Callithrix jacchus: one gene and its partners. The protein of the gene in region 4 purifies or fractionates together with the protein of the main gene of each other region. This does not show direct contact. Links are inferred from orthologs where the notes say so. Each region holds a gene or a part of one and is shown on either strand. Other genes may lie near its edges. The genes, in order: IFI16, SNAI1, ELAVL1, TRIM21, ANXA2, GMPS and FASN.

Region 1 (3,786 bases), on a different chromosome or scaffold from region 4:
CATTAACTAGAAAAAAAGAACAAACATCTTTTTTTTTTTTTTTTTTTTTTTTAGGAAAGTAAAGACCCATTCCCCAAAATGAATGACTTCTGGAGGATGCCTAAGGAAACGTGGCAGTTTCCAGGACCGTCCATGACCCGCATAGGCCCAGCTGGGAGCCAGCCCCAGACTCCTCCGATGTCTGCATCAACACCATGCAGCAGTTTCTTTACCACGGTACCACTTCCTCTTCTCAGTACTTCCCCCCGTACACTACAGTGACGGAGATTAACAGAACCTTGAGAGCACTTCTCACCATTCCCCTGCTACATACAATGCTTTATTTAACCAAATCAGTCATTTATTCATCAAGTATGTATTTTGAGGTCCTATCTAAAATTAAAGTTCTCTTATTATCTTCTCTATTCCATAGCAGGTATAATTAGATGTTTGTGTACTTTTCTTTTTCTTTCTTTTTTTTTTGAGACGGAGTTTCGCTCGTTACCCAGGCTGGAGTGCAATGGCGCGATCTCGGCTCACCGCAACCTCCGCCTCCTGGGTTCAGGCAATTCTCCTGCCTCAGCCTCCTGAGTAGCTGGGATTACAGGCACGTGCCACCATGCCCAGCTAATTTTTTGTATTTTTAGTAGAGACGGGGTTTCACCATCTTGACCAGGATGGTCTTGATTTCTTGACCTTGTGATCCACCCGCCTCGGCCTCCCAAAGTGCTGGGATTACAGGTGTGAGCCACCGCGCCCGGCCCAGTTTTATTTTTCTTTTGGCTTACATTTTTACTTTTCTCTCAGTACACCATGAAAATAATACCTTAAAATAGAATAAGGTGGGAAAAAAAACAGAGCCAACGTTAACACTATCACTGATTCTTTGATTTATTATAACTCAAATAATATCATCTTTAAAAATTTATGAAAAGAGGCTACATAAGCAAAAATAATTAACTTTTAACTTTCAGAAACCTCTGTGCCACATTTCAGTACGTAGTCTTTCTGATTTTACATCTTTCATTATGTATATACAAAGAGTACTTTCCTCTCTCAGAGTAAATTACATTACACATATTTTTCTATAACTCTGGTTTTTTATTAATATATCTTGAACTTCTATTCAATCATACAATATAGATTTAAATTATTTTATTGTACCAGAAAAAGTGCATGGTTATTCCATACATTATAAGAATGGTCCTATATTACTTGGCTTTAGGTGGCTTTCAGTATTCTGTGTCTTTAAAATGGACATAATAAGAGCACGTGTCTCTTGGGTCTTTTTTCACTGCCCTCAGAGTAGCTTTATAATTTATTCCCTAGGTTCTGTGCACCTTGTGCCGGGGCATTGATCTCATGGCTACTGTGAGGAGATTTGACACTGATTTTCCTTGGGAATAGTTTCCTAATGCTGTAGAAAATTGGCCACATTGATGAGTTCATCAAAGTTAAAGCCATCACTCACAGGTGGCCGATACCATCTTCCAGGTCAGGTCACATTGAGCACTGCTGGTCTGTGGAGGCAGCTGTCCTGCCTCCATGTTCCGCTCTCTAGGACTCCCTTGATCCCTTCTTGCCTCCATACTTCCTCTTCCAGATCAGCAGCCCACCCTCAACTCTTGGGGTCGGGTGCACAGCTCCTTTCTCTCTCCTGTTGTTCCCTGACACCTGCTCTTTCACTTGTACTCATGCAGGTAGGAGTGAATATCTCATTTCACGGTCCCAATTAAAGAGAGAGGCATGACTCAAAGGTCAGGAATTGATTAAAGGAGATAGATGAGAGTGAGAAAAGAATTATTTTGAAAGGAATAGGGGAAGAGATATGGTGCATGGGGAGGAGACACTGTGATTGAAGGCAGAGATGTAGGATCACCAGCATCTCAACTGCTCTGTATCTCTTTTTCCTTCAAGGTCATAAAGAGGGAAAACAAGAAAGAGGCACTCAATCCTGATTCATATATGAAAACTTCGTCAAAGTCCTTCTTCTAAAATCTGGATGCCGTTGATAATAATGCTTATGGAGATAAGATCTAAGTGCCTACAAAATGTATATCTACCTGGTTGAAATACAACACTAGATATGCCGCTGTTATACATACCAGCTATTAATTTTTAGAGATGGGGTATTGGGAGTGCTTTTTTAATTCTTTAGGGTTTTGTATATAAGGCCATATTTTGCATCTACAACTTTTATAATTTGAACAAAACAAATAAACGTTACCTTTCTTTGTGAAAGGAATTCTTCCCCGGCAGTCTCTTTAATCCATCCATGAGTTGCTGAAAAGCAAATAGTTTGTGGTCTACAAATCTGGGTGCAGCACCCGGGCCTCTAGCTATATTTGGATTTGTACTTTGGGTGTGATCTTTACAGGATAGGCCCTAGTCAAGAATGAACAGGCTATGTTCTGCTGAGAGGAATCAGGCTGAAGGGGTAGGTAAGGGTGAAATCCAGCCTGGGGTTCGGTTGCTAAGCACTGTTATTGTTTCAGCCCAAAGCAGTAGATATCTTTTCAGAATTGGTTTCCTTGAAGGGGCATAATTGGGTAATTTTTCTGCCAAATGAGGCGCCTTCTGCTGATGTGCATGAAGGCACTTGTCTGTGTTAGAGATGTATCTGGGCCTGCCTGATGTGAAATATCTGGTTTTATTTGCTTCCTCAAACACCAACTGCTCTTCAGGCATGTTGGAACCATATTTCCTGTTTTCACAATGCACTATAGTGATCGGATCCATTAGAAAGCTGCCCCAGGCAGAACTGCATTAGGCAAACAGTGAAGATAATTGATTTTCTTTAGAATAGACTAGCTGAAAGTAGGCATCTCAAACTAGAATTTAGCCAAGTTTCTTGATTATATATTTGGTACCTGATACTTTGCGATTATTTTGTGGCACTTTATCTTCATATTAGCTCTAGAAGTTTGATCATTTTTTCCCTTTTACTCACCCTATAATATGTGACAAAGAATAGAAAGGCAAAGTCACTTTCGTAATGACACTTAGTAAATTAGAGAGATTGATTTAGAACCCAGGCTGCTGTTCCCGTTTGGGGTGTGCGTGTTGGGTGACGTGTGGGGGATGTGGTGGAAGCTGTGAGGGATGGAATGGGGACGTCTACTACTGTCCTAGGGCTTTTCTTTAGTTCAGCTAAACATGGGCGTCCTTAGCACACGGCTATGAAAAATTAGGCTCGCAGACAATCTGAAGAGTGAGAAGGGCAGAGTTTACTGGGTGAAAAGGGAAAAAAGGAAACTCTGCAAAGCCAGCCCTGCTGGTGCGCTTGGCTTCCTGCCTTGCAGTTTTAATTTCAGGTTCCACCCAGGAAGCGGAAGGGCCAGGCTCTTCCCCACTGCAAATGACGCAAACTTCTGTGGCTCCAACCCAGTGCACAGTCCTCCCGGTGTGCAGGCTGGAGTTTCTATGGGGACCCCTTCCCACCTGGCGGTGTCATTGCCCCCTCTAAGAAGTGTGCATCTAACTGCCATTAGAATAAGGACAAGGATAAGGACGAAGACCGATCTTAACTGCTTTCTGCTGACAGGGGGCGCCGTTTTGGGGAAAACAGCAAAGTCTCTCAGAGGCCTATTTAAGGGCTCCCGGCGGAGGGGGCCATTGTCTTCCTCTCCAGTTGCATGACTGTTTGGAGTCTGATGGCCTGAAGATGAGAAGAGACCAATCGTGTTATTAGAAAACATGTATCAAAACGAAACAAGGGGAGGGGTAAGAACAGTTCAAAAATCCCAAGGCCTTTGATCAGTTTGTACAAAGAGAGGGAGGCCAAAAGCCTGACTGGTAAAAAACAAA
Region 2 (4,298 bases), on a different chromosome or scaffold from region 4:
AGTGTGATGGCACACACACGAACAAAAGAGAAAGGAGACGTTCTAGGACATACATGATGGGCTCTGGGAGTGGGGCTGTGTGCACATGCAGGAGTCGAAGACTACACTTCTCAGATCCCGCGCCCCGCAGACGCCTTCATGGTTCTCCTGGCAAGTGTGAAATCGGCACCAGGCCGGCGGGGACAAAGGCCACCGAGGGGGGCACCGTACATGCGATACCCCCGGATTAAAGGGGCCTGCCATGCACTGGGCCAGCAGCTGCGACTGGAACAGGTGCTGGGCACCGCTGCCCCATGCACCTGCTCTGCTCCTCCCAGCCCCCACCCACTGGGCCCACCATTAAGGCACACAATGGGAGTCAATGAGGACAGCAGTGATACATTTCTGTGTCCCAGCCGTGCCTTTACATTAAAATAATGCCGGATTGGGGGCAAGGGAGGGGGGACAGCAGAGCAGCACCCTGAGGGGTTCAACGCTCCCAAAATAGAGCCCTGTGAGCTAGGCAGGCACCCAGAAGGCCAGGCAGTTGGACCTTTACATGTTAAAATCAGGGCTAAGGGTGCACAAAGGAAGAGAAATGGGTAGCCTTAGTTGAGTAAGATGCCAATAAAGCCTGCAAAAGGCCAGGCCTTCCAGACACCGCACTGACCCTCACCACTCCGAGGTCAGGTGCTGGGTCAGGAAATGGCAGAACCTGCCCGGGGTGAACCCCTGGAATCTCCTCTCTCAACCGTCACTCTCCAGAGCAGCTCTGGGCATGGTGGTCACCACCATTCAAGTTCTAAAAAGTTCTACCTTTTCTCCACGTCCAGAAAGTTTCCTACGCATTTAGTAAATTTTCAAGACACCAAGACATGATTGCGCTGTCTGCCCCAAAGATGCCTTTCCTGGTCTGCCAGATAGGACTGAGTGGGGGTGGGGAAGCAGACCAGAGAACCACCAGGTATGATAAATTACTGCAAAGTGATTAGCATAAAGTGATTATCAACCTTCACAGTCACTCTCTAAAACTTACCTATCATAATCCTCCCCTGAGGCTCAGAGAGGTTAAGTTGCTTGCCCAAAGTCACACAGCAGGGAAGCCGAGCAAACGGCAAGGAAGCATTTTTGTGAGCATTTAGCAGGTACCAGGCACTTTGCCAGGTGCTTCCCATACGCATTCCTGCATTTAGCCTGCATAGAAACCCCATAGGCTGTTCTCATGCCCATCTGAAAGATAGGGAAAATGAGGCTCACAGAAGTGAAACATCAGACCAAGCTTTGAGAAAGTTCTCAAAGCAGGATTCAGAGCCAGGTGGGGGGGGGGTCTGACAACATCCTGTCTGGCTAGGGAGGGGTGGATCAGGAGAGGGTGGGGCCAGGCGGACCCCTTCGCACCTGGCCACCACCACAAGGTGCTGGTGGCACCTTTCCCATATCCAGCTCCTACCCATTTGGCTGAGAAGCTGGCTGCAGGGGATTGGAAAGGTGTCTGCTTTGCCCATCTGCTTAGCTGATGAAGGAACATTTCTGCCAAACGTTTCCAGAGAGCCGGGCCCCTGAACTTGAGTTAGAAGTTAGGAGACTCGGGGCCTCCGTGTCTACAACTTTGAGAATGAGAAAAGTAAGCCCAGATTCACAAAAGCTGGCAGAGAAAGCAGTGGGGCGGGCCAGGAGGGGCACTTACCAGTGTGGGTCCGGACGTGGCCTTGCAGCAGCCAGGGCCTAGAGAAGGCCTTCCCACAGGTGCCACAGACGCAGGGCAGCGTGTGGCTTCGGATGTGCATCTTCAGGGCACCCAGGCTGAGGTATTCCTTGTTGCAGTATTTGCAGTTGAAGGCCTTTCGAGACTGGAGATCCTTGGCCTCAGAGAGCTGGGCCAGCTGCTTGGGCACTTGGACCAAGCCTGGGAAGACAGCATAGGCCTCGGCCTCCAAGGAAGAGGCCGAAGTGGAAGAGAAGGACGAAGAAGCCGGTGAGGGTGGGCTGGGGGGCTGGGAGCCTTTCCCGCTGTCCTCATCTGACAGGGAGGTCAGCTCTGCCGCCCTGGGGCTCTCCTGGGCCCGAAGGGAGGCCCAGGCAGTTGGCTGGGCTTGGGGGGCCAGGACAGAGTCCCAGATGAGCGTTGGCAGCGAGGCCGTGGGGTTGAGGATCTCCGGAGGTGGGATGGCTGCCAGCAGGTGGGCCTGGTCATAGGGCTGCTGGAAAGTAAACTCTGAGGGAGAAAGAGCAGAGTCAGGCGTTAATTAAATCATTCACTCAATCAACAAACTAGAGCCCACCGCTGGCCAGGGGCTGGGTGAGGCTGACTCTCAACACATAATTAGATCAATAAAATTATCCATAGGGCAGACCAAATTCCTGCCCTCCTCGCCCAGGTCACCCAACCTGAGTCTCTCACAGGTAGGACCCCCAGTTGAAGAGGGTCATTTCCAGATCTCGGTCTCCTGAGTCCCAAGTCCCCAGCCTGAAGCCAGAAGCCCATTACCCCAGCCCCCGAGCCACCACTCCACCCCAGTCCCCCTCCTCACACACATCTGGTCTCTCCACCCCTCTCCTCAACACTCTGGACTCCGGACTCTCCCCAGCAGCGTCCGGCGGGCCCTCCTGGCACAGGCCTCCTTCCCCTCGGGAGCTCCTGCGCCTCTCGCAGGCTACAAAGGCCCCCCAAGCGCAAGACCCCTGCCCGCTACACGGCACCCCCCAAACCACTCAGATAGATCCCTGGGACTGGAGACCTACCTGCCCGGTCTCCCGAGCCCGAGCCCTCAATGCTCCACAAAACATCCTGCGAATCGATCCTGGCCCAAGCAGGCCGCCTCCTTCAGGTGCCCCCCACGCAGCCTTCGCCTGTCTCCCCCAAATCTCCTGGAGCCCGGGACCCCTCCAACGCACCTGGATTAGAGTCCTGCAGCTCGCTGTAGTTAGGCTTCCGATTGGGGTCGGAGGGCTTCCTGACAAGAAAAGAGCGCGGCATGGTGGCCAACGCACCGGGGTCGCCGAGTCGCTCAGAAGTAGCGCAGGAGAACCACCGCTTAGGCCGTGCCGCGGCGCAATGAGTGCACCCGCGCCGCCAACTCCCTTAAATACTCCAGGGGGCGGCAGGGGAGGGGTCTTATCTGCCTCGCCCCTTTGTCACCTCAGCACCAATCGGAGGCACGTCTCCGCCGAAGGCCACGCCTCGAGCAGGTGCGCCGGGGGCGGACCCGGCTCGCGCCGCGTGGCGCTGGGAGCCCGGGCGGAGGCTCCTGCAAGGCGGGGTTCGGGAGCGCAGCGCTGGTCGTTCCCAGTGCTGGGGCTGTCCGGGGCGGGACATCGGGCGCATTTAGGCCCCTGCGAGGCGGGACCCCTCGCACCCACCCGCTCAGCGCCCCACGGTCGGAGCGCTTCTGACGCCCCCTGGCGCTGCGCGCGGGCCGGGACACCTGACCTTCCGAAGCCCGCCCCCGCCTCGGGCTTGGGAGGGGGCGGAAATTTCCTCCGCCCGGCTGGCGCCTGGAGAGCGTGGCATTGAGGAGGGAAATGCATATTGCTGGGGAGGATGCGAGGAAACGGACACTACACGTGGCTCTTGGCAGCATGAAATGCCATGGCTTTTTTGCAAAGCAGCCTAGCGAAGTGCGCCCGTTCCTTCCCTTAGCCAGTGTTTACGGAGCGTCCAGCACGTGTGGGGCACTGTACCTGGGGCCGGGGCACAGCCCTGGACAGGACACTCAGAGCCTCTCTCGAAGTTTAGCTACCCGTCCAATGGGGGAGACAGCTGAAGTAAACAGACAATTACAATGCAAAGGGAAGTGTGCTTTGGTGGGGGAGAGACGGGACGCGGCGACCGTTAAGAGGCGGGTCACCTGACAGGGGGTCGGGGTGACTGCCCAGAGGAAGTGAAGAATTATCAAGGGGAAAGGCCCGAGGGAAGAACTGGCAACTGCTTCCGAGTAACTCCTGGAGAGCAGCTCCCAGGGATGGGGTGGGGTGGGCAGGCCCGGAGGGGTCAGATGTGAGGAATCTGGACTTTGCCTCAAGGGCACTGGGGAGCCACCGAAGGATTTTCAGCTGAGGAGGTACCTGGTTAGAGTTTCCTTGAAAAAGATCCCCGTAGGCCGGCAAAGAGTTGGGATGAGGCCGGTGTGTCTCCTGAGCCCTTTGAAGATCCCCATCCTGTCTACAGGCTCTCACGGCTCCTAAGGGACCCTGACTGAATGTATGTGTGGTGGGCCCAGGTGAGGAGCAGCTGCACCCCTACCCCAGCTTCCCTGGAGGCATGCCAGGCCCAGGGGTGGTGCTGAAATAAACCCCACAGGTCTCGCCATGCCTGTTTC
Region 3 (4,471 bases), on a different chromosome or scaffold from region 4:
AGGGTTAGAGTTTGGGGTCTATGTCCAGGGACAGGGAGGGTTAGGGTGTGAAGGAACTGGCACCCCAAACTAAGGGCTTCTAGCTTTATGTTTTAAGCCACCAAAGAGGTCAAGAAAACGTGTCTTTTTTCTGCCCAAAGACTTTAAACCAGAAAGGACACATGAGATGTGCATTTACAGAAGAAAACTCCTGCAGGAGTGTAGAAAGAGGGAAGAGATGGGAAGCAGAGAGTGAGAGAGGCAAGAAAGCACGAGGAGGCCAGTGTTTTCATAATTCTCTCATTTCTTTTACTTGAAATAGCATTAAGGGCTGGGCATGGTGGCTCACGCCTGTAATCCCAGCACTTTGGGAGGCCAAGGTGGGTGGATCACCTGAGGTCAGGAGTTCGAGACCAGCCTGCCCAACATGGTGAAACCCCATCTCTACTAAAAATACAAAAAGTTAGTCAGGCATGGTGGCGGGCGCCTGTAATCCCAGCTCCTCAGGAGGCTGAGGCAGGAGAATTGCTCGAACCCAGGAGGCAGAGGTTGCAAATGCAGTGAGCCCAGATGGCGCCACTGCACTCCAGCCTGGGTGACAAGAGTGAAACTCCATCTCAAAAAAAATAAAAAGAAAAAGAAATAGCACCATGATCTCAGACTCAATACATCCGAACTGAAACTCTGCCTGCTCAAAACCAATGTGTCAACATGAACAGTATTATTTCCTTCCACATTTGGAGACGTTCATATATCTCAGACTCTTTGTGGGCTTTGAAGTTGCAAAATTTCATAATACATCCCAGCACAGAACTTTGCATACAGAAGGTATTCGATGACAACTGAGTGGTGTGCCCTGGAGCCTTGAGATTTTAGGAGCAGCACAACCCGGTAGTTACGAATAAGGGTTTTTAATCAAAGGGCCCTGGCTCAGCCACGTTAGTGCATGAGACTGGTCATATCAAGCAACCCATCTAAGCCTCAGTTTCTTCATCTCTAAAATGGAAATTAATGGAAATTGTAACATCACCTGCCTCAAGGACTGGAGACGAACGTCCACAAAGTGTCAAGCACATAGTAAATCCTCAATAAAAACTGGTGGTTATGTGTAACATTTATTCAGTGCCTACCAGGCACAGACCACGGCAATGCAACGGGTTTCTCACACCCTTCAATGTGCACCACACTTTTGTCCTTCCCATTTTACAGACAAGAAAACTAAGAGGCAACAGAGTCGCGCATGTTTGAGGTCTTGGAAACATCTTCCAGGGGGCCCGTAATTCCAGCTACTCGGGAGGTTGAGGCAGGAGAATCGCCTCAGATTGGGGCTACAGGAACTTCTGCAGGAAGGTTATTTAGTTCAGTGATGGTTCTCACCTGTGTGTGTGCGCGAGCGCGGAGGAGACCGCGACCACCCGCCCCCCCATCCCCCCATCCCCCCCCCCCCCCGCCACACACACCCCCCACGTAACTCCGGACATCTGGCACTGTTTGGAGATATTGTTGATCCTCACGATTTGGGGGATGGGGATACTGCTGGCATCTAGTGGGTAGAGGCCAGAAATACTGCTCAACTTCCTAAATTGCACAGGGAAGCCCCCCCACCACACACAACCAAAAACTATCTGACCCCAAACATCAGTAGCACCAACGTTAAGAAACCTCTGCCTAGCCAGATCGTTCTCCTGATCTTCCTACTTCTGGAGCACTGGCCATCCGGATCCCAGATGAACACTTTCTAGCAAGGGGGCTCAGTCCCGCCGCGGGAAGCCCGTGTAGAAGTTGAGCAGAAGTTCTCCTTCTCAACCTGCCCTGCACACAGCAGGGACCAAAACCCATTTTAACAAGCCCCGCAACCCAGAGCACCGGAAAAGGAAGAAAGAGCATCCATCCTCCATTGTTCAACTCCGGGCAGCTTGTATCTCCAAGACACACACATATTTCACAAATCCTAACGTCCCACGCCCCACAAACAGCTTTGTTAGAGATGGCGCTCAAAAAAAAAAAAAAAATAGATGCAGTTTAGATCCCCACCCCCCCGGACTCCCAGTGTGCCTACTGAAGGGTTGCATGCTTCTCAAAGGACCTCGCACCGGCCACGGTGCTCTGACAACGACCACAAAAGAATCTGTGGGATTTCCCGGGGGAGCGAGCCCGTGGGCCTTGACCTCCGCGCGCTCAAAGCGCTCCCCGCGCTCCCCCGCCGCTGGCCTCACTCTTCCGCCCCCGGAGCCCGGGCTTCCAAGACGACCGGGGCCCCGGCGGTGCAGCCCGGCCCCCTGGCGCGTGCCCACGCCGTGTCCCCCTGGCCCGTCCCTCGAGGTGCCCGAGGAATCCAGCCCCGGGGCCTGTGGCCGGCGCCCACATCGGTCCGCCCCGGCCTGACTGCCACGGTCCCCATGCGCGTCCCCTCCCTCGGTCCGGCGCGGCCTGGGCCTCAGTCGGTGCAGGCCCGCGGGCGCCCAGCGGCCAGGCCAGGCGAGCTCAGGCCTGCCGCGGCCTACCCCGTCGGGCGCCGCCGAAGGCTCCCCACCGCCTCACCTGGACGCGGGCGGGCTGGCCCGGGGCTGCTCCGGGGCGGGCGGGCGGCGGCGGCGGCGCGGCGCTAACGGCTCCGCTCGGCCTCGGTAGCGGTGGCGGCGGTGGCGGAGACGGCGACGGCGACGGCGGCAGCGGCTCCTCCTCAGCGCGCACGACCCGCTCCGGCCCGCGGCCCGGACACGCCCCCCCGGCGCGCGCGCCCATTGGTCGGCATCCGCCATGGCGTGCTGCTCATTGGTCAGCGTAGCTGTCGCGGCGCCCCCAGGCGAGCGGGGGAGGCGGGACTTCCGGTCGGCGCCGCCTGCGAAGGACTCCGCAACCGGCGGAGACGCGGGCGGCCAGCTATGGCCGCGGAGGGGGCGAGCTGGGGTCTGGACCTTGGAGGCTGACAGAAGGCGGTGACTGAGAGGCGCCTCTAGTCGAGCGCTCGCCGTGTGTTCCGCACCTACCTTTACTGCCGCCGCCTCCCATGAAGGTAGGAACGGTCAGCACGCCGAGGTTACGGGGACAGGACCTGTGTTCGAATCCCGGCCCAGATGTTTCTGCACTACGTGCCGTTAAGCAGGTGCTGACGTCATCTCGCCGGGCCTCAGTTTCCTTCTCTGGTGTACTGAGGAGGCGGGGCATGGAACGTGGTCAGCTTCACATTGCTCTTTGAGCAAGCCAGTTTCTGAAAGCTCAGCCTCTTATTCATTAAAATGTCATTGAGCGCCTACTGTGTGTCAGTCACTGTATGGGCAGTGAGCAGAAAAAAAAAATACCTGGCCTTATTGGGCTAACATTCTAAGCCAGCGCTGGCTTTAGTAGAAATAGATGCAAGATACATGTCTAATTTTTTTTATAGAGATGAGGTCTGGCTCTGTTGCCCAGGCTGGTCTTGAACTCCTAGGCTCAAGTGATTCTCCTGCCTCTGCCTCCCAAAGAGCTAGGATTACAGGTGTAACTGCACTATGCCTATTTTTTCCTTTTCTTCCACACCACCCTTTTTTTTTTTTTTTGAGACAGGATCTCACTCTTGCCCAGACTGGAGTGCAATGGTGTGATCATGGCTCGCTGCAGCCTCAACTTCCCTAGCTCAGGCAATCCTCCAACTTCAGCTTCCTGAGTAGCTGTGACTACAGGACATGTCACCATGCCTAGCTAATTTTTTATTTCTTGTAGAGATGAGGTCTTGCTATGTTGCCTAAGCTGGTTTCAAACATCTAGACTTAAGCCATTCTCCTGCTTTAGCCTCCCAAAGTGTTGGGATTACAGGCGTGAGCCATGGTGCTCAGCCTATTTATTTTTTTAATTATATGTTTTTAGAAAAGTTTATTAGAGATTAGGTCTCACTGTGTTGCCCAGGCTGGAGTGCAGTGGTTCTTCACAGGCCCAGTCATCCCACAGGATTAACTCCTGACCTCAACTGATCCTCCTGCCTCAGGCTCCCAAGTAGCTGGGACTATAGGCACAGGCCACCACACCTAGCTCACATGGGTAATTGTTAAATTTTTTTTTTTTTTTAGATGCAGTTTTGCTATTGTTGCCCAGGCTGGAGTGCAGTGGTGCAATCTCAGCTCACTGCAACCTCCGTCTCCCTGGTTCAAGTGATTCTCCCGTCTCTGCCTCCCGAGTAGCTGGCATTACAGGCATGTGCCACCACACCTGGCTAATTTTGTATTTTTGGTAGAGACAGGGCTTCTCCATGCTGGTCAAGCTGGTCTCGAACTCCGGACTTCAGGTGATCCACCTGCCTTGGACTCCCAAAGTGTTGGGATTACAGGAGCGAGCCACCACGCCCGGCCATAATTGTTAAATTTTAAAGTAGCCAGCATTCTGGGTCATCACCGTGCAGTAGAAGTATAAGCCAGCCACAGATTGGTCAGTGAGGTATGTAATTTAAATTGATTAAATTGTTAGCCTTGTTTAAAATGAAAATAAAATAAAAAACAGGTAATGTTAATTGTAATAA
Region 4 (4,240 bases):
ATACAAAAATAAAATCAAAATGGATTAAAGACTTAAATCTAAGACCTCAAATTATGAAAGGACTACAAGAAAACATTGGAGAAACACTCCAGGACATTGGACTGGGCAAAGATTTCATTTAAATGTCCCACAAGCATAGGCAACCGAAGCAAAATTGGACAAATAGGATCACATCAAATTGAAAACCTGCTGCACAGCAAAGAAAATAATCCACAAAGTGAAGAGACAACCCACAGAATGGGAGTAAATATTTGCAAACTATCCATTTGACAAGGGATTAATAATCAGAATATGTAAGGAGCTCAAACAACTCTATAGGAAAAAAATGTAATAATCTGGTTCAAAAATGGACAAAAGATCTGAATAGACATTTCTCAAAAGACATACAAATGACAAACAGGCATATGAACAGTTGCTCAACATCACTGATTATCAGTAAAATGCAAATCAAAACTACAATGAGATATCTCACCTCAGTTAAAATGTCTTTTATCCAACAGGCTATAACAAATGCTGGTGAGGGTGTGGAGAAAAGGGAACCCTCATAAGCTGTTGGTGGAAATGTAAATTAGTACGATCACTACAGAGAACAGTTTGGAGGTTCTTCAAAAAACTGAAAATAGAGTTACCATATGATCCAGCAATCCCACTGCTAGGTATATACCCCTAAGAAAGGAAATCACTGTATCAAAGTGATATCTGCACACTCATGTTTATTGCAGTATGTTTCACAATAGCCAAGATTTGGTGGCAACCTAAGTGTCCATCAACAGATACATAGATAAATAAAATGTGGTACATATACAAAATGGAGTACTATTCAGCCATAAAATATGAGATCCTGTCATTTACAACAACATGAATGGAACTGGAGGTCACTACATTAAGTGGAATAAGCCAGGCACAGAAAGACAAACATTGTATGTTCTCATTTGTAGGCGCTAAAAATCAAAACAATTGAACTCATGGAGTTAGATAATAGAAAGATGGTTACCAGAGGCTGGGAAGAATAGTAGGGAGGATGTGTTGGGGGAAAAGTAGGATGGTTAATGGGTACAAAAATGGAGTGAATTAGATCTAGTATTTGATAGCATAACAGGTGGCGATAGTCAATAATTTAATTGTACATTTGAAAGAGTATAATTGCATAGTTTATCACAGATGATCAATGCTTAAGGTGCTAGATGCCCCATTTATCCTGATGTGGTTATTACACATTGTATACTTATATCAAAATATTCCATGTAGCCTATAAATATACCTACTATGTGCCCAGAAAAATTAAAACTAGAGAAAGAAAAACAAAATGATGCAAAGGAAAATAAAAAAATAAAAATGGTGGCTCTGTATACCTGTATCAAAATGTTCCATGTAGCCCATAAATATACCTACTACATGCCCAGAAAAATTAAAACTAAAAAAAGAAAAACAAAATGATGAAACGGAAAATAAAAAAATAAAAATGGTGGCTCACGCCTGTAATCCCAGCACTCTGGGAGGTCGAGGTGGGTGGATCACCTGAGGTCAGGAGTTTGAGACCAGCCTGACCAACATGGTGAAACTCTGTCTCTACTAAAAATACAAAAAATAGTTGGGAGTGGTAGTGGGTGCCTGTAATCCCAGCTACTCAGGAGGCTGAGGCAGGAGAATTGCTTGAACCTGGGAGGTGGAGGTTGCAGTGAGCTGAGTTGGTGCCACTGCACTCCAGCACAGGCAACAGAGGGAGACTCCATCTCCAAAAAAAAAAAAAAAAGGGCATAATATTAATGGAAAAATAATTAATGGCAAAAACAGTATTACTTTTGCATGGACCAAATAGTTTGTTTAATAAGTTTATTCTTCTGAATAACAAGAACTCCTCCACTGTTTGGCCCATTGATCCACTGGGACAGAAGGAGAAACTGAGTCCCTAAAGGAGGGAGTGAAAATTGGCAAGAACCTCATAAAGCTGACAGTTCTCTCATGTCCATTCCTGCTTAAACCCTCAGTGCCCATTCATCTTCTTTCTGGTACCAGCAGGCCTCCATGTTGCTGAGAAACTAGTCATAAAATAGCTACTTTTAACCATGTACCTTCCATGTGCCAGAGATACTACACATGCTTTGAATACATCTTCATTAATCATTCCAATATTGGCAAAAGTCAGGTGTATATGTATGTACATGAGCATGTATATGTGAATGTATTCACACAGAGCAACAGGAACTGTGGCCAGCACTCCCTGGGCTCTTCTTTCAGCTGCTCCAAACTTAGTTTAGTTCCTGACATCACTTCTTCTATGACAAAGAGTAATTTTGAAGGCCTATACATTTCTGGTTGAACATCCTAAGCAGCCTGCCCCTCACCTCTGGAGGACTTTTGGACCTGGGAGTCTCCAGGATTGCAGATCTCCCCCACGCTCCTGGCTAGGCAGTAGTGCTGGCTCTCTCAGCTGCACCCAGCTCTCATCCCAGCTCAGGTGCCAGCAATGGGGCAGCCAGGCCCCTTCTCTTTCTGGGTAACTCCATAGTCACGTCCACACCCCAGCCTCCTCCCAAGTAGGGGGCAGCCGGAACCCTTCCCCTTCTGGGTAACTCCGCAGTCACGTCCCACACCCCAGTCTCCTCCCAAGTGCCCGGAACCCTACCCCTTCTGGGTAACTCCGCAGCAGTCATGTCCATACCCCAGCCTCCTTCCAGGTTAGGAGACCAGCCTCGGAAGCACAGAGGGGCTTGGATTGAGGGATCCCCGGTGGGAGAAGGGGCAAATGGGACCGGCTCAAGGATGGAGACTGGTTGGAAGGGGCTCTGCAGCCCTGGGGCAGGGGAGAGGTCCACTAGGAGGGCAGGGGTTCCTTGATTTAGTGAGGTTCACTCACCTTTACAGGGGACTCAACGCGGGTAGCCAGCTCCCTATTTCACTTTCAGTTTCCGCTCAGAGGCAAGTCTGACGGGAAAGGGGAGGGAGGAGGAGCCGTGAGAGGAGAGAGGGAGGAGCCGTGGGAGGAGCGGAGCCTTGAAAGGGTGTGTGGAGAAATGCCGCTGAGAAGGAAGAGAGGTGGGAGGAGAGAAGTCAGAGTTGGGCTGGCGGGGGGCTTCAGAGGCTCTGGACAGCCAGGGGGCTTCTATGAGACTGGGAAGTAATGGAAGCCCAGTAGCCTGTGGTCCTGGGTGCGCACCCCCTCCCATGTCTTCATTATCTGATTTAGTAAAATATCTGCAAGATGGGGGAGTCCGGGCTGCTTTCTTTGACACTGGTTATCACCCCACACCTAGATGCTTTGCCCATGTCTGGAAGCTGCTTTTAAGGAGGGTTGGATGCAGAGAATAGTGGCTGGTGCTCTCCCTCACGTGCCGTCATCTGTTTCTTACTTCCAGAAGCTAATTCTTTTCATGTGACTGATGTGACTATTATTTTTTTAACATCTGCAGGTGAGTGATTTATTTCGCATGACCCCGAGGTAAGTATCCCACCAGTGAGTGGTGAGAAGGGAATTGACATCTGATAACCAACTATGTTCTTATCACCGAGCTAGGGACATTCTCAGGTTATATTAATTTTTAATCGTTAAATACACAGAATATAAAATTTACCCAAGTAATTTTGTTTTAAATTTTAAATTTTCTGTGTCTGTGGTAGATGTATGTATTTATGGGCTACATGAGATATTTTGATGCACAGGTATAGCATACGGTCTGTAATAATCACATCAGGGTAAGTGGGGGTATCCATCACCTCAAGAATTTATCACTTCTTTGTGTTACAAACAATCCAATTATATGTTTTTTAATTATTTTAAAATGTATGATAAATTGTCTGTAGTCACCCTGTTATGCTATAAAATACTAGATCTTATTCATTCTATCTCATGTATTTTGAACCCATTAATCACCCCCCTACACACTCCTGGCTACCCTTCCCAGCTTTTGGTAACCATCATTCTGCTATCTTCATGAGTTCAATTGTTCTAATTTTTAGCTCCACTTATTAGTGAGAATGTACAATTGGTTGTTTGCCTGTGTTTGGTTTATTTTATTTAACATAATGACCCCTATTTTTCATCCATGTTGTAGCAAATGAAAGGTTCTCCTTTTTATGGCTAATCAGTACTCCATTGTGTATGTGTACCACACTTTCCTTACCCATTTGTCTATTTTTTTTTTAATTTTTTATTGGATTATAGGTTTTGGGGTACATGAGCAGAGCATGCAAGACAGTTGCGTAGGTACACACATGGCAGTGTGCTTTGCTTTCCTTCTCC
Region 5 (3,786 bases), on a different chromosome or scaffold from region 4:
TCAACTCCAACATGGACATCCACCCGGCCACCCCAGAGCCCCAAGGCACCGAGACCCCCTCAGCACAGTGCCCACCTTTCTGGAGGTGGCACACGCTCCGCTCGGTCATGATGCTGATCCACTTGGGAACATCAGTTCCTTTCCTCTTCACTCCAGCATCATAGAGATCCTACAAGTACAAACAACCAGGAAAAGTTAACTATGCGATCCAGCATAAGATCATAAAAATTGTCATGCAAAAAAACCAGAAAAGCTGCACGCTCATAATGCCCAATGGGGAAGAATAATTATACTACACACGTGGGCACAGACGTACTATGTAGACATACTTAGTCACAAGCAGTCTTCCTTAGGCACACATGGATACAAAGGAGACTGCAAATAGTTCGTGAGGTCTGTGATTAGTCTCCTCCCTTGAATAAGAAAGGAAGGACCAAGAGCTTTTACTCACATACAGAAAGACAAGTTGATGTTAATTAGCACATCTGGCCCTCCTCCCTTTGGGCACATTTAAGGGCAGATAAGCTAGTCAGCGTTTACTGGATAGCTACGGCCAGGCTCCCATTCCCAAGCTTCTCAGAGACTCAGGGAGTGATGGAGCTGGAAAAGGAGCCTGTCCCACCTCATTTTCAGTTTCTGGAAAATTAAGGCGCTAGTCCTTAGCAATGGCAGGAAGGGCAAGAGGAAGAAAGGCTTATGCAAGGGCAGGTATTCATTCCGTGACCTTCCACCATCTGGGAACTGCAAAATCCAACTTCTATTTTATTTAAAAGCCTTCTCTACTACCTTCTAGAAGCGTTGTGTGGAATATACTGAATTTAAAACTAACAAGAATTTAAATTAATTGTTTTTCTGCAGCTTTTATGACTTACTGAGGTAACTGTTGACCCTTGAGTAACAAATACAGTTCACAGCAGTCTGAATAAGCTTAACAAATAGTTCTCAGAGATTATCGAACTAGAACTGGCAAAAGTTTTATTCAGCCAGAAAAGGACAGGTCTCTGCTGGCCTCCTTTATCCCCCCACCACAATGAGCTGTAGGCCGTCCTGTCCCTGGCTGTGTCTTCTCCACCTTCTTCTGCTTCCCACCCGCCTGCCTGATAAGTGTGCACAGCCACATCACACTCTGCAGAGACTGGTGCTTCCATACAAGCAAAGCCTGAATGAGCATGTGCGAGTCAGGTATTGACTCCATAAGTAATGCCAGCATTCTAAGAGAGTATCTTCTGATAAGCATTGCTCTCAGACTACAGTGGGTTTAAAAGATGGCCAGAAATTCTTTGACATTCCTCCCTTCCAGAGGAGGAGCCTAATCCCCTCCCAGTGAGCGTGGGCTAGACTCCATGACTCACTTTTAATGAAGAGTATGACAGCAGTACAGGGTGGGACACCTGAGATTAGGTCATAAAAGATGCTGTGGCTTCCTCTTTGCTTTCTCTCATATTCCTTGCTCTGGGGAGAGCTGGCTGCCATGTTGTGAGGATGCTCAAGCAACCCCGTGGAGAGGCGTATGTGGAGTGAATCAAAGGTCTCCTACCAAACAGTCACGTGAGTGCACAGTCTTGGAAGCAGTCCTCCCTTTCTCCCCAACCACAATGAAGCAGTAAGCCGTCCAGTCCCTGGCTGTGTCTTCTCCACCTTCTTCTGCTTCCCACCTGCCTGCCTGATTGGTGTGCACAGCCACATCACACTCTGCAGAAACTGGTGACAGTAGTGCAGGGTGGGACTTGTGACACTAGGTCATAAAAGATGCTGTGGCTTCCTCTTTGCTCTCTCGCAGATTGCCTGCTCTGGGGAGAGCCGGCTGCCATGTTGTGAGGATGCTCAAGAGACCCTGAGCCAGAACCAGTGCACTAAGCCACTCCTCAATTCCTGACACACAGAAACTGAGAAATAATACATGTTTGTTGTTTTAAATCACAGAGTTTGGAAATCATTTGTTATACAGGGTTAAATTACTATACAGACTATCCAGAGACTTACAAGAAAACAGAAACTTAAATCAAAAAGCTCAGCACTTACCCGGGCATCTTGGTCAATCAGTTCATAATCAATGACAGATCCATCCTCTGCTCTTCTGCCCTATGAGGAGGGGAGAAAAGCACTTCCAATCCATTTCTTTGTGTATTTTAAAACTGAAAATGTTCTCTCCCTAGTCCATGTAAGCCATGACTTAATTTTCTAAATAAGTATCCACCTAAGACTTTTCTTACTTTGAAACCCAGACCAGCCAAGGATGGTAAAATCATTGAGCAAGGAAGTGGATGCTGTGCCTTCCATCAACAACCCCCTCCTTGGTACCCAGTCCTGGCCTACACACCTTATAGAATCCCTTTCCCCATCCCCCACAAAAAGCTGATGAGATTTAGCCCTTTCCTTCAGCAAGCTTGCAATGCAGACGGAAGGATAAGCGGAAACAAATGTACAGCAGCCAGGGAACCTAAAGCACTAGGAAGACATGAAATCCAGGAGGAGGAAGAACTCTCAGAGAGGAGAGTCAGCAAACGGTGTGAAGCATGGGGCTGGGCTGAAGCTGAAACTTCAAGAGTCAGTCAGATGCAGCCAGCCAAGAGGAGAGAGAGAGCCAGACTGCCCACGAGGGCCAGCACGGATGCAGCAGAGCACGCTCCCAGGTAAGTAAGGAGCTGCCCTGTCAGAGCAGAGCTGAGCAGCAGAGAATCCTAGCAGAGAAGATGCAGGGAGGGTATAGCGGACTTTTCCCAGCAGTTAAGAGTTTACAATGGCTGCAGCAGAAATGGGTTTGAACAGGGAAGTAACGTGGTAAAAGCGTATTTCACAGAGATCCGTGAACGGCGGTACACGGGGAGGTGGGAGGGAAGAGAGGAGAGCCAGGGAGAGCAGCACAGGAGCTGTCGCAGTAACGGATACATGAGTGGGCCAGAGACGGCATATCGCCTGTCATTTGTCTTCAGGGTTCCCAGAGAAAACAGTCTCTCGTCCCTCCCCTGGCACATAAGCATTAAGTGACACACCAGTCAGAATTAGGGATTCACCGGGGAAGCGCCCTTTCCTCCATGTTAATGTGTTAACCTTAGCAACTGGCTGAACAAAGACAACTTCACTCCAGGCAAAGGACTACGTGGGCAAATTCTCCCTTGAGAAGTGAACGCAAGAAAAAGAAACAAGAAGGTCACTTCCCACTGGGTCCTGCATGACCACAGAGAGAGGCAAAGTGACCTTCCCTAAGTCACGCGGCCAAGGCTCTGGCATGTAAATCCAGGCCAGGACTTGAGAGCTGCCCAGCCCTCCTCTTGCTCCCAAAGTCCACTTGTCCATGAGGTTTAGCAGGATAAGAAATCCTATTATACAAAATTGACAACTCCGCAGTGACAGTGCGAGCCCACTGTCGAAAATGCAGCTGAATTTCTGATGCAGGCACAGGGGATTTAGTTAATTCACTCCAAGTCTAAAATGAGGTGTGTGACTTGCCTTGGGAGGAGGCAAGGACAAAGAACGAAACTGGGAAACCAACCTTCGCCAGGGCAACCATCAGCTTGCGGAAGTCGCCAGATGTATCCGAAATAATGTCCTTCTCCAGATCAGTCTTGTACACTTGGAGAAAAATACATCTGGTTTTATGCTTTCTGCCTGTGAAGCCAACCACCCACCCCAATTTCCCATTTCCCACTAAGTCTCTGAAAAGCAGAACAGCTATGTCAGCTGAATACATCCATTCTCCCTAACCTCCAACGGACAAAGGATTCACTAGAATGATTTTCACCCTCATGAAATCAGAGCCGGGCTAGATCAAATCAGGGATCCTCG
Region 6 (4,346 bases), on a different chromosome or scaffold from region 4:
TACAATATATTTAAGCATTAAGATAGATGGGATTTAGTCAATCCTTAATGCCAGTACACCACACCACATTCCATTCCACTGGGGTGGATGTTTACGTAAGTTAAGGCTGCTCTCCTATTGGTTTCTACACTCTTCGTTAAGATTGTGCATACAGACCAACCTAGAGAGGCCAGTATCCATGGCTTTGAAAATTTCAAAATTCCATTTTCAGTTCAAAAAAAGGTAAGAGAAATACTTGAGTCTCAGGCCCACTAGGACCTTGGGTCTTTTGTTTTTGTAAATATTTTACTAATAAACTGTCTACTCCTTCCCAGTTTGGGGAGCCCTTCCCTTCTATACTGAGAGGCACATTATCTTACTGAGCTTCAATTTCCTCATTTGTAAAAAGGATAAGAATATCAATCCTACCTTACTGCTTTCACGGGATTGGTTAAAGATAGCGAAAGTGTTTTCTCACTGGCTCCTTAATACCTTAACTAGAGTCTGACACAAGAATGACCGCAGCAAATGTTGGCTGTATTATAATATTTGTGGAAAGGCTTTGTTAGCTGGAAGCCATCTCAAGTATTATTCTTTATACACCAATACCGATTTAGGCCTGTAGGTAAGCAAATTCAAGGTAACACCTCATCTTGATGGTTGCCAAGGGGTAGGTGGAGGGATTGCAGCCCCTTTCCCACAGACAATCCCAATAAAAACACCGCTGTGCCAACAGAGCTTCATGACCAATTTCCTGACCCAGCTGCTCACCAGATGTCCACTCCCAAACTCCCTTCTCTTTGGAAGTACTGCACCTGCTGTAGAACTTTTTGTGGGGAGCTGTATAACTTTTAAAGTTCCTAAGTGATCAGGTCCTCCAATGACGTCCTTAAGATGTGGCCAAGAAACCTTCCAAAGCAGCCTTGGCCTCCCTCATGTCCGACAACCTAAGGCCACGCCACCGGCTAAGAGTTCCGCCAGGGGCCCAGCTCTCAGGAGGCCTCCTCGGTGCCGCCAGCCTCCCGTAGCCGTCCCAGGCAGCAGGCAAATCGGCCAGCGGCAAACTGGCTTGGCTGCGGCTTCGGTTTTTCTCCGGGCCGGCGCCGGGAGGCCCCGCCTCCCGGGGCGGGCTCCTCGGTGCGAAGGCGGGAGGGGCGGAGCCGATGGGCGCCGCGCGGTCTCCTCCTCCCAAGGGCGGACGGGACGGAGGCGGGCGCCGGCCTCCGTGTTACTTCTCCACGGGCAGGCCTCCGTGGCGGGGGCTGGGCCTGGTGTCGCGGGCCCCTCCTCCCAAGGGCGGGCCGCGGGAGACCCGGCCGGCTTTGCCGGCGGGGGCGGGCCTGGAGGGCGGGGACAGCCGCCGCGAGCCCCTCCTCTCGAGGGCCGGCCGGTTTGGCGGCGGCTGCGGAGGGTATCTGAGGCTCGGCTGCCAAGCTCAACGGGCTCTGGCTCCTCCCAGTGGCCGGCTGGGGCGGAAGCAAGAGGCGGGGGCAGCGTGCGCGCTGCTGGTCTCCTCTCCCGCTGCGCTGGGGCCCGCGCTCTGTGGCTGCTGCTCCTTTCGGCGCTTCTCTGGCGGCTGGCTCCTCTCCGTGGCTGGCTGCTCCTTGACCAGTCGTCCCTCTCAGCCTCGGCCCGCGGCGCCGACCCTTCCGGGACCCTCCCGCCCCGTCTCGTACTGTCGCCGCCACCGCCGCGGCCCCGGCCCTGGCCCCGATGGCTCTGTGCAACGGAGACTCCAAGGTCAGCGTGGGGGTCCCTGCCGCACCGCTTCCCTGCGGAGGCGAGGCTCCCGGACCCGGGAGCCACCTAGCGGGGCCCTTCCCCACCCCCTCCCCCCAGCCCGTCCGCGCAGCCCTGCGGCCCGGGCAGCCACGCGTCGGAGAGTCCCTGGTCGGGGCCTGTGGCATTTTTTCTCCTCGGGAGCGGCGGTGCTTTGTTGATTATGTCTGCGGGTCGAGGTCCGGGCGTCGGGGAGGGCATCGGCTCCCCGCGGCCGCCCCGCTGGCCCCTGCCTTCCCCGCGCAGCTGTGGGGCGCAAGAGCCCGCGAGCGCGGCCCGAGGGTGGGGGTAGGGAGGCGAGCGGGCTTGTGTGTCTGCGGGTCGGGCGGGGGCTTCCTCGGCTCCCAGCCCGTCCCTTTGGGAGGCTAGGGGCCTGTTGTGGCTATCCCGGGGCCCGCCGAAGGCAGGGCAGGTTCGGGGCCTCCAGTGCGGCGTTCTAGCTGGGCGATCCTCTGGTCTTCCCGCCACCCTGTTTCCCGCCTGCCCTCGGCGAGGCCCGCTCCATTCCCCCCGCCGGCCTTGGGCTCCGCGGCGGTTAGGCCGGTTCTAGACTAGCCCCGCGGGGCTGCACCGTTTTCCCCCTCCCCCTATGTCCCTGCAGGCTCGCGTGTGGGCTGGTGGCCCCGGGGTCGCGCACTCCGTTCCCCCTCCCCCATCCTCGGAGGGAAAGAATGTGTCCAGGTCCCGCCCCCGTCCAGCTCGGTCCCTGTGTAGCTTGCTGGTTTGCGGGATAACTCTCTTCCCCGCCTTTGGGGTCCCCCCCACCTCCGGAACGCGAGCCGTGCCTGTTCGCCCGAGGGCTGGACAGTCGGGAGTTCCGGGATGCTGGAAAAGTTGCCACCTTGACGTACCCAGCGAGGAGAGCGCGTTTGGCCGCTTCTGCGCATATCCTCGTCTCCAACTCACTTTTTTCTTAGACCCTTCCTCTTTCTTTCGTCCCGCTTCTGAATTGGGCACCTTCGCTTTCACTTCTGTATTAAAATTTTCATTGGCCTGGAGTTCTTTCCGACCTTTGCTAAGTCAGTTTTGCCAGCGGGAAACCGCGCAGTTTTGAATTGCGATTTACTTCAGCAAGATATACCCCCGCCTATATGCTGTTTAGGGCCTAGCTTTAGGAAAAAATTTAATTAAATTTCATTCGGGTGGGTGGGAATATATACTTCGAGTGGGATTTGGTGCTCGACCTCAGGGAGTAGTGACTTAGGCAGAATTTTAACATTCTTTTTAAAAGGAGGTGCTCAAGGGTCCCATCTTAGAGGTCCTCTTGAATGGCTGCTTAGCACCCAGTAATCTTTCAAAAAGTATTTGTTGAACAAATGAGTCAAGATTATAAGGTAGCTGATTTTAACTCTTAAACCAAGGCACCAGTGTTGCTTAGGTCCGGGAGCTCTTTCTGAGGTTTATAAAACTAAAGAAGACACACAAACCTTCTGTTTCTGACCTCAGGAGCAAATGTAAACCTCTTTGTCCAGCTCTTTCCTATATACTAGTTGACTTGCAAAGCATTTTTCTGTCTGGTTTTGAGATTTACAACTCATTGGATTCATCTTTATGCTGATAAAGGAAATAACTGGTATTAGAAGGACTCACCTGACTTATGGGTTTTGAAAACTACATAGTGCATTTGAGAGGAGTATTTTCACAAAACTAAGTGGCAGAGGAAAGTGTAAGATCTGTTTCCAGAGTATATAAGAGGATTTTTTTCCCCATAACTGATATTTTTTTGTGTGTTTTGCTAGACTTGGAATTACAAAGATAATCTTATTAGTTTGGTGAATTAATTTTATTTCAAGGTTCTTTATGTTTTATAACATAATTAAATATTTTAAAAACTATGTTAACAGTTGTAGACTGAATTGAAGCATTTTTAAGAGGAACATCTGGAGAATTAACATACTTCATCAAGTCTATGATTATTGTATGTACTCTCGAAGAAAAAAATCATGACAAACGATGACATGCCATTGATCTCAACATTTTAAGTAAAGAGATATTACATATGTGGAAATACCTTATATCACCTACTTTATTTTGCATATTTCTAAGAGGTCCACCTGGAAATAAGTAGGAGTCTTATTTTCCATAGCCTACAACTGAACCACCTTTCCCTTGGGAGGAAAGTGTAAGTGCTATATATAGGATTACTTTGTACATTGATTGGGCCTTTGCTGTGTGTATCCTAGTTCATAAATTAAAAGTTGGACAAGAGCTGGTTTTGATTCCTCTTTCTGGTACATTTCAGTTACCAGGATTTTCTAAAATGGCATTTTTGCATGATAGAAACTAGAGAGGGACCTAAAAGCCATAAAAGCATTTGGGTTATTTTAATTACTTTTTATACATAGTATTTTATTTAATTTTTAATTTATATATATTTTTTGAGGCAGGGTCTTGCCCTGTCACCCAAACTGGAGTGCAGTGGTGTGATCACAGCTCATTGCTGCCTTGACCTCTTTAGCCTCCTGAGTAGCTGGGACTACAGGCATGGGTCACCCCACCCTGCTAATTTTTACTTTTTGAGAGACAAGTCTTGCTACGTTGCTCAGGCTGGTCTGGAACTCCTGGGCTCAAGCTGTCGTCCCTCTTCA
Region 7 (4,289 bases), on a different chromosome or scaffold from region 4:
TTGACATCTCTGGGGTGCAGTTGTGAAACCTCGGCCTACCCAGGGACCTACACCTCCCAGAGCCCGTTGGCCAGGCCAGGGACATGGCCAGGGAAGGCAAGTGGTGCCGGCACCCAGTTCTACCAGCACCAAGAAGAGAGCACTGCCTGTTCTACGTGGCAGCAGAAACCCTGGGCACAGCATCACCAATGCCAACCCACCTCCGTCCACGATGGCCTCGTAGGTGACTTCCAGCAGCAGCCGCAGCTGCGGGTCCATCGTGTGTGCCTGCTTGGGGTGGACCCCAAAGAAGGAGGCATCGAACCTAGACAGGTCCTTCAGCTTGCCAGACCGCCGGGGCAGGCCATAGAGCCCTATGGGACAGGCAGATGTTTAACTCTCTGACTGAAGCTGCCAGGAGGTGGGGACCCTGTGGGGTGCTGCAGGGAATTAAGGAGTCTCTGCTACACCAGGGAGGCCCAAGCAATGGAACAGGCTCCCCAGGAGGGGAGGACTGTGGCCACAAAACTGGTACATTGAGGTCTCCTGTGCAAGACCCCAGGCCCAACCCTGAGATGGGCCCCAGAGCAGAGAGAGCTCGGTGGGAGTGAGGCTGGGGGACCCTCTGCCCGGCCCATGCCTCAGCTCCACCATGCTGACTCACAGCTCACCCGTCAGGTAGAGCTGCTCTGTGGAAGAGCCTACTGGGCGTGGGGGAGTTGGATCAGCCTCCCAGAGCGCACCTGGTATGCAACCTGCCAGCTCAGGACACAGGCGGGGGGGAAGCCTGGCTGGAAGGGCTCTGCCCCCTTGTCAAGAGACCCCAACCCATCACCCATCCTCTGAGCTTGACTTCTCTGTAACAGGCACATGGGCCCTGCCTGGCTCGGCCCTGGGCCTTGCAGCTGTTGGGGGAGCCTCCTGGCTGGCTGGGCCCATTTTCTAGGCCACTCTGGTGCGGTCTCCAGGAAGGAGGCTGTAGCTTGGCCTCGCCCAGGGGTGACCAGTGGCTCTGCAGCTGGGACCAGGCTCAGGCCAGTGCCTGGGTGGTGGGGACACAGCACAGCAGGGAGGCCGGTGTGACGGCGAAGGTGGAGCTGACCCACCCCGGCCACAGGGAGCCCCGCAGCCACGCACCCGCCTTCCAGCGCCGGTCATCGTCCGTGACCATATCCACACCGCCAATGAGGTTGTCCCAGAACTCCTGCAGGTTCTCCGACTCTGGCAACTTCCCGGACATCCCGGCGATCACCACCTCCTCCATGGTTGCTCTGTAGGGCGGAGGTGTGAGTGTCCCAGGTGTTCTGGCTGAGACACCCGTCAGCAGCCTCAGCTCACTGAACGGGTGGCCACCCATAGGGTGAGCCAGCCTGAGGATCTGTGCAAGCCCTGGCCCCACTGTCACTGCGAGGGGCTGCATGCTCTGGGAACAGGCCCACCTCTGGGCCCTGACCCATTCAGTATGGGATATTGGCCTGGGGACCCCACTGTGGCCCTGCTGCCCTGACCTCCACTGCAGTCTGAGGTTTTTGCGCCTGTGCTGGCTTCCCCTCAACCGAGCCTTAGCCCTCAAAGGCTCCTGCAGCTTGTCTGGGGCCATCTCTAGGGGTGCCCAGGGGCTCACAGTGAGGAGCACGCAGGGCCACCCCAGATGAGGACGAGGTCCCAGGTGGCCAGCCTGAGGCAGGGTCCCAAAGCCAGGGCTGGAAAAGGGACCAGAGGGCTCATGGAGGTGGCAGGGAATCCTAGAGGGGGTACTCAGCACCCATGTCCACCTACATTGGAGTGGAGGCCCAATGTCCAGGCCAGCCCAGGAGTCACCAGAGACGAAGTAGAGATAGGCTTGTGCTCTGGGGGAAAGATGGCCCCTGCCCCACTGAGGACCAACCTAGCCTGTCCAACCCCTAGAGCAGGATCTAACCTGGAGAACCGCTCCTGGCCAGGATGGTGTTCCCCGGCACCCCTCACCTGTGTAGGTGAACCCGCGGACATTTGCTTGCCTCCCCATACTGACCCAGACAGCAGCAGGCCCTCCCTGGGGCCCAGGTCCCTAAGACCTCGAACCCGGGCCCAGGCTGCCGGCTGTGGATCCAGCATGGGGCTGGTGCAGCCCGCGGGGAGAGGGCCGGCCTGGCCACTTGCACGAGGCCCCGGGACTGGATGCACACGCCGCCTCTAGGCACTGCAGCCTCCCTCAAGCTGCGGAGTGCCCGGGCCGTTCCGGCAGGGAGGTGGCCGCCTTCCCCCCACACCGCGATTCAGAGGCTGGCGCCGGCTCTAGGCCCGCACGCTGGGTTCTCGCAGTTTGCGATTCACGCAGAGTCGACGGTCAGGAAGGGGGTGGGGACCCCGTGGCGCGCCCGGCCTCCCTTTGCCCGGGGTGGGGGCTGCTTGCAACTCCTGCTCTTCGGCCCGGCGGCGCCACGTGATCCGGAGGCCGATCTCCGCGCGGACCCGCGCCCACCACTTTCCTCCCTCGCGGCGTCCCCGTCGTGCTGGGCCTCGGCTATGAGGCGGCCCCTAGAGGAGGATGCGGCGCGCAGGGCCCGGCGCCTTTGTGGGCGCGGGGAAGCCGGGCCGGGAGCTCCTCCAGAGCCTCCAGGGTCCGCGGCCTCCCGCCCGGGAAGCGAACGTGGCTGCTGGCGGCGCTCCCCGGCGTCCTTCCCCCGCGCCATCCGCCCACCTGCTTCGTGGGGCTGCGGGCGCCTCCGAAGCGGCTCAGACACCGAGACCCGGGCAGGCCGCGCAGGCGACCCTTGGATGCGGGCGGGACAGGCCACGCGCGCCCTGAGACCGGAGGATGCAGCGCCGGCTGCCCCGTGACCCCGCCGGCCCCTGCCCGGACCACGACCCGCGCCGGCTGCTCGTACCTGGTGAGGGCGCGGGCGGCGGTGCGGGCGGCGGAGAGCGAGGCTGGAGCGCAGCGGAGCGGGAGGCCGGGCCGCTGCCGTCTCTCTGGCTCCCTCTAGGCCGGCGCCGACGCTATTTAAACCGCGGCCATCCCTGGGCGGCCACGCCACATGGGCTGACAGCTTGGCTGCGCCGCCCAGGCCAATGAGCGTCGGGGCTGCGCCCCGGGACCCAGCGCGCCGCCGCCGGTGGGGTGATGCCCGTGCGCGCCGCCGCCCGAGCCGGGACCCTGCGCGACAACGCGCAGGGGGAGGGGCCGGTCCTGGGGCGCGCTGGGGGCCGAGCGCGCGGGTAAACCCCGCCCCCCGACTTCCGCTCCCCGCCCCGCGGGCCCAGACGCGCACGCGGTTTGGACCGAGTTCGCGGCGCGCCCCCGAGCCTGGTCTCCGCCGGGACCACGTGTACGGGATGGGAATACTTGGACCACACTGGGGACTGCGCCGCGGCCGCCCCGGCGAGGGGTTCAGGGGGTGCTCGGGCCCACAGGCGCGGACAGACGGAAGGACATGCCCGCGTGCCCGCAGCTCTGCCGCCCTGCTACGAGCCGCCGACGCTGCCCGCGGGCGTGGTACGGCGGCCGCAGCGACCAATCGGGCGCCGGGGGCGTTCGCGCCGGCCCAATGGCGGCGCGCGGGTGGGCGTTGCTAGGCGATAGGGTGATGGGCGGGCGGCGGGGCAGCCCAGTGTGCTGCGCGGCGCGGTCGTTGACCCCGGCCGAGGGCGCCCCGAGCGGGGTTACTGCCGGTCATCGCCGCGCCTCCCCGGTTCTCCTTGCGGAGCCCGGCGGAAAACCCAGACGGACGCCCACTCACCCGACGGCCCCTTCTCGGCAGCCTCCCGGGTACGGGGTCGAGCCGCGGGGCCGAATGGGCGAGCGCACCCCAGGCTGCCGGAGCGCACTGGAGGGGTGGGGCGCGGCCACGTGGCGGGCGCTGTCGGCCGGGACACCCACCTGGTGTGATGCGAACAAAGGGAGCCGCTGCCCGGCTTCGCTAGGCGGAGGCTTCGAGTTTTCCAGGCGCGTACCCACGGGTGGGGGCTCAGCCCGGCCCTCGCGCCCTCCCTCCCCCGAGTGATTCCACACCACCGATGGTTGCCGGCTCGGCGGTCTGAACCCTGAAGCGCGCCCTCCCTTTCCTGGCCGCCTCGCGCCTGCAGGGCCAAGCACCCCATGGGGACAAGCGGGCCTTGCGAGGCCACAGGTGTCCCTGGCTGCATGTCCTGCTTTGAGGGATCAGGCCCGGGCCACTGAAGGGGAACCAGAGACTGAACCCCCCCCTCCCTGCCCGCCCCTCTGCAGGTACCCGGCCTCCTCCCTCTCCAGGGAGCAGGCCTGAGTGTCAGGCGGCCACTCCACAATCTTTTCCCTTCTGGCCCTGGGGCTGTGGTTCACACACAGT

The links.
Region 1: the proteins of TRIM21 (region 4) and IFI16 purify together in Homo sapiens (affinity purification with western blotting; 3 studies listed by BioGRID, with this or other methods). This does not show direct contact. The link is inferred for Callithrix jacchus from reciprocal best matches to the Homo sapiens genes TRIM21 and IFI16.
Region 2: the proteins of TRIM21 (region 4) and SNAI1 purify together in Homo sapiens (affinity purification with western blotting; 3 studies listed by BioGRID, with this or other methods). This does not show direct contact. The link is inferred for Callithrix jacchus from reciprocal best matches to the Homo sapiens genes TRIM21 and SNAI1.
Region 3: the proteins of TRIM21 (region 4) and ELAVL1 purify together in Homo sapiens (affinity purification with western blotting; 3 studies listed by BioGRID, with this or other methods). This does not show direct contact. The link is inferred for Callithrix jacchus from reciprocal best matches to the Homo sapiens genes TRIM21 and ELAVL1.
Region 5: the proteins of TRIM21 (region 4) and ANXA2 purify together in Homo sapiens (affinity purification with western blotting; 3 studies listed by BioGRID, with this or other methods). This does not show direct contact. The link is inferred for Callithrix jacchus from reciprocal best matches to the Homo sapiens genes TRIM21 and ANXA2.
Region 6: the proteins of TRIM21 (region 4) and GMPS purify together in Homo sapiens (affinity purification with western blotting; 3 studies listed by BioGRID). This does not show direct contact. The link is inferred for Callithrix jacchus from reciprocal best matches to the Homo sapiens genes TRIM21 and GMPS.
Region 7: the proteins of TRIM21 (region 4) and FASN purify together in Homo sapiens (affinity purification with western blotting; 3 studies listed by BioGRID, with this or other methods). This does not show direct contact. The link is inferred for Callithrix jacchus from reciprocal best matches to the Homo sapiens genes TRIM21 and FASN.

What each region holds. Positions count from the first base shown.
Region 1 is NC_133519.1:19,040,029-19,043,814, forward strand, and holds part of IFI16 (gamma-interferon-inducible protein 16), read left to right. Parts: intron 1-54; coding exon 55-216; intron 217-1,896; coding exon 1,897-1,974; 3' UTR 1,975-3,786.
Region 2 is NC_133506.1:45,525,304-45,529,601, reverse strand, and holds the start of SNAI1 (zinc finger protein SNAI1), read right to left. Parts: upstream 3,037-4,298; 5' UTR 2,957-3,036; coding exon 2,875-2,956; intron 2,195-2,874; coding exon 1,667-2,194; intron 1,587-1,666; exon of another isoform or gene 1,016-1,586; intron 1-1,015. UniProt on the Homo sapiens protein: Involved in induction of the epithelial to mesenchymal transition (EMT), formation and maintenance of embryonic mesoderm, growth arrest, survival and cell migration.
Region 3 is NC_133523.1:7,539,390-7,543,860, forward strand, and holds the start of ELAVL1 (ELAV-like protein 1), read right to left. Parts: upstream 3,070-4,471; 5' UTR 2,970-3,069; exon of another isoform or gene 2,801-2,969; intron 2,684-2,800; exon of another isoform or gene 2,521-2,683; intron 1-2,520. UniProt on the Homo sapiens protein: RNA-binding protein that binds to the 3'-UTR region of mRNAs and increases their stability.
Region 4 is NC_133511.1:69,716,549-69,720,788, forward strand, and holds the start of TRIM21 (E3 ubiquitin-protein ligase TRIM21), read right to left. Parts: upstream 2,928-4,240; 5' UTR 2,858-2,927; intron 550-2,857; 5' UTR 473-549; intron 1-472. UniProt on the Homo sapiens protein: E3 ubiquitin-protein ligase whose activity is dependent on E2 enzymes, UBE2D1, UBE2D2, UBE2E1 and UBE2E2.
Region 5 is NC_133509.1:7,151,608-7,155,393, forward strand, and holds part of ANXA2 (annexin A2), read right to left. Parts: intron 3,574-3,786; coding exon 3,494-3,573; intron 2,083-3,493; coding exon 2,023-2,082; intron 170-2,022; coding exon 76-169; intron 1-75. UniProt on the Homo sapiens protein: Calcium-regulated membrane-binding protein whose affinity for calcium is greatly enhanced by anionic phospholipids. It binds two calcium ions with high affinity. May be involved in heat-stress response.
Region 6 is NC_133518.1:29,660,238-29,664,583, reverse strand, and holds the start of GMPS (GMP synthase [glutamine-hydrolyzing]), read left to right. Parts: upstream 1-1,483; 5' UTR 1,484-1,692; coding exon 1,693-1,719; intron 1,720-4,346. UniProt on the Homo sapiens protein: Catalyzes the conversion of xanthine monophosphate (XMP) to GMP in the presence of glutamine and ATP through an adenyl-XMP intermediate.
Region 7 is NC_133506.1:137,715,922-137,720,210, forward strand, and holds the start of FASN (fatty acid synthase), read right to left. Parts: upstream 2,943-4,289; 5' UTR 2,077-2,942; coding exon 1,994-2,076; exon of another isoform or gene 1,948-1,993; intron 1,251-1,947; coding exon 1,117-1,250; intron 354-1,116; coding exon 201-353; intron 1-200. UniProt on the Homo sapiens protein: Fatty acid synthetase is a multifunctional enzyme that catalyzes the de novo biosynthesis of long-chain saturated fatty acids starting from acetyl-CoA and malonyl-CoA in the presence of NADPH.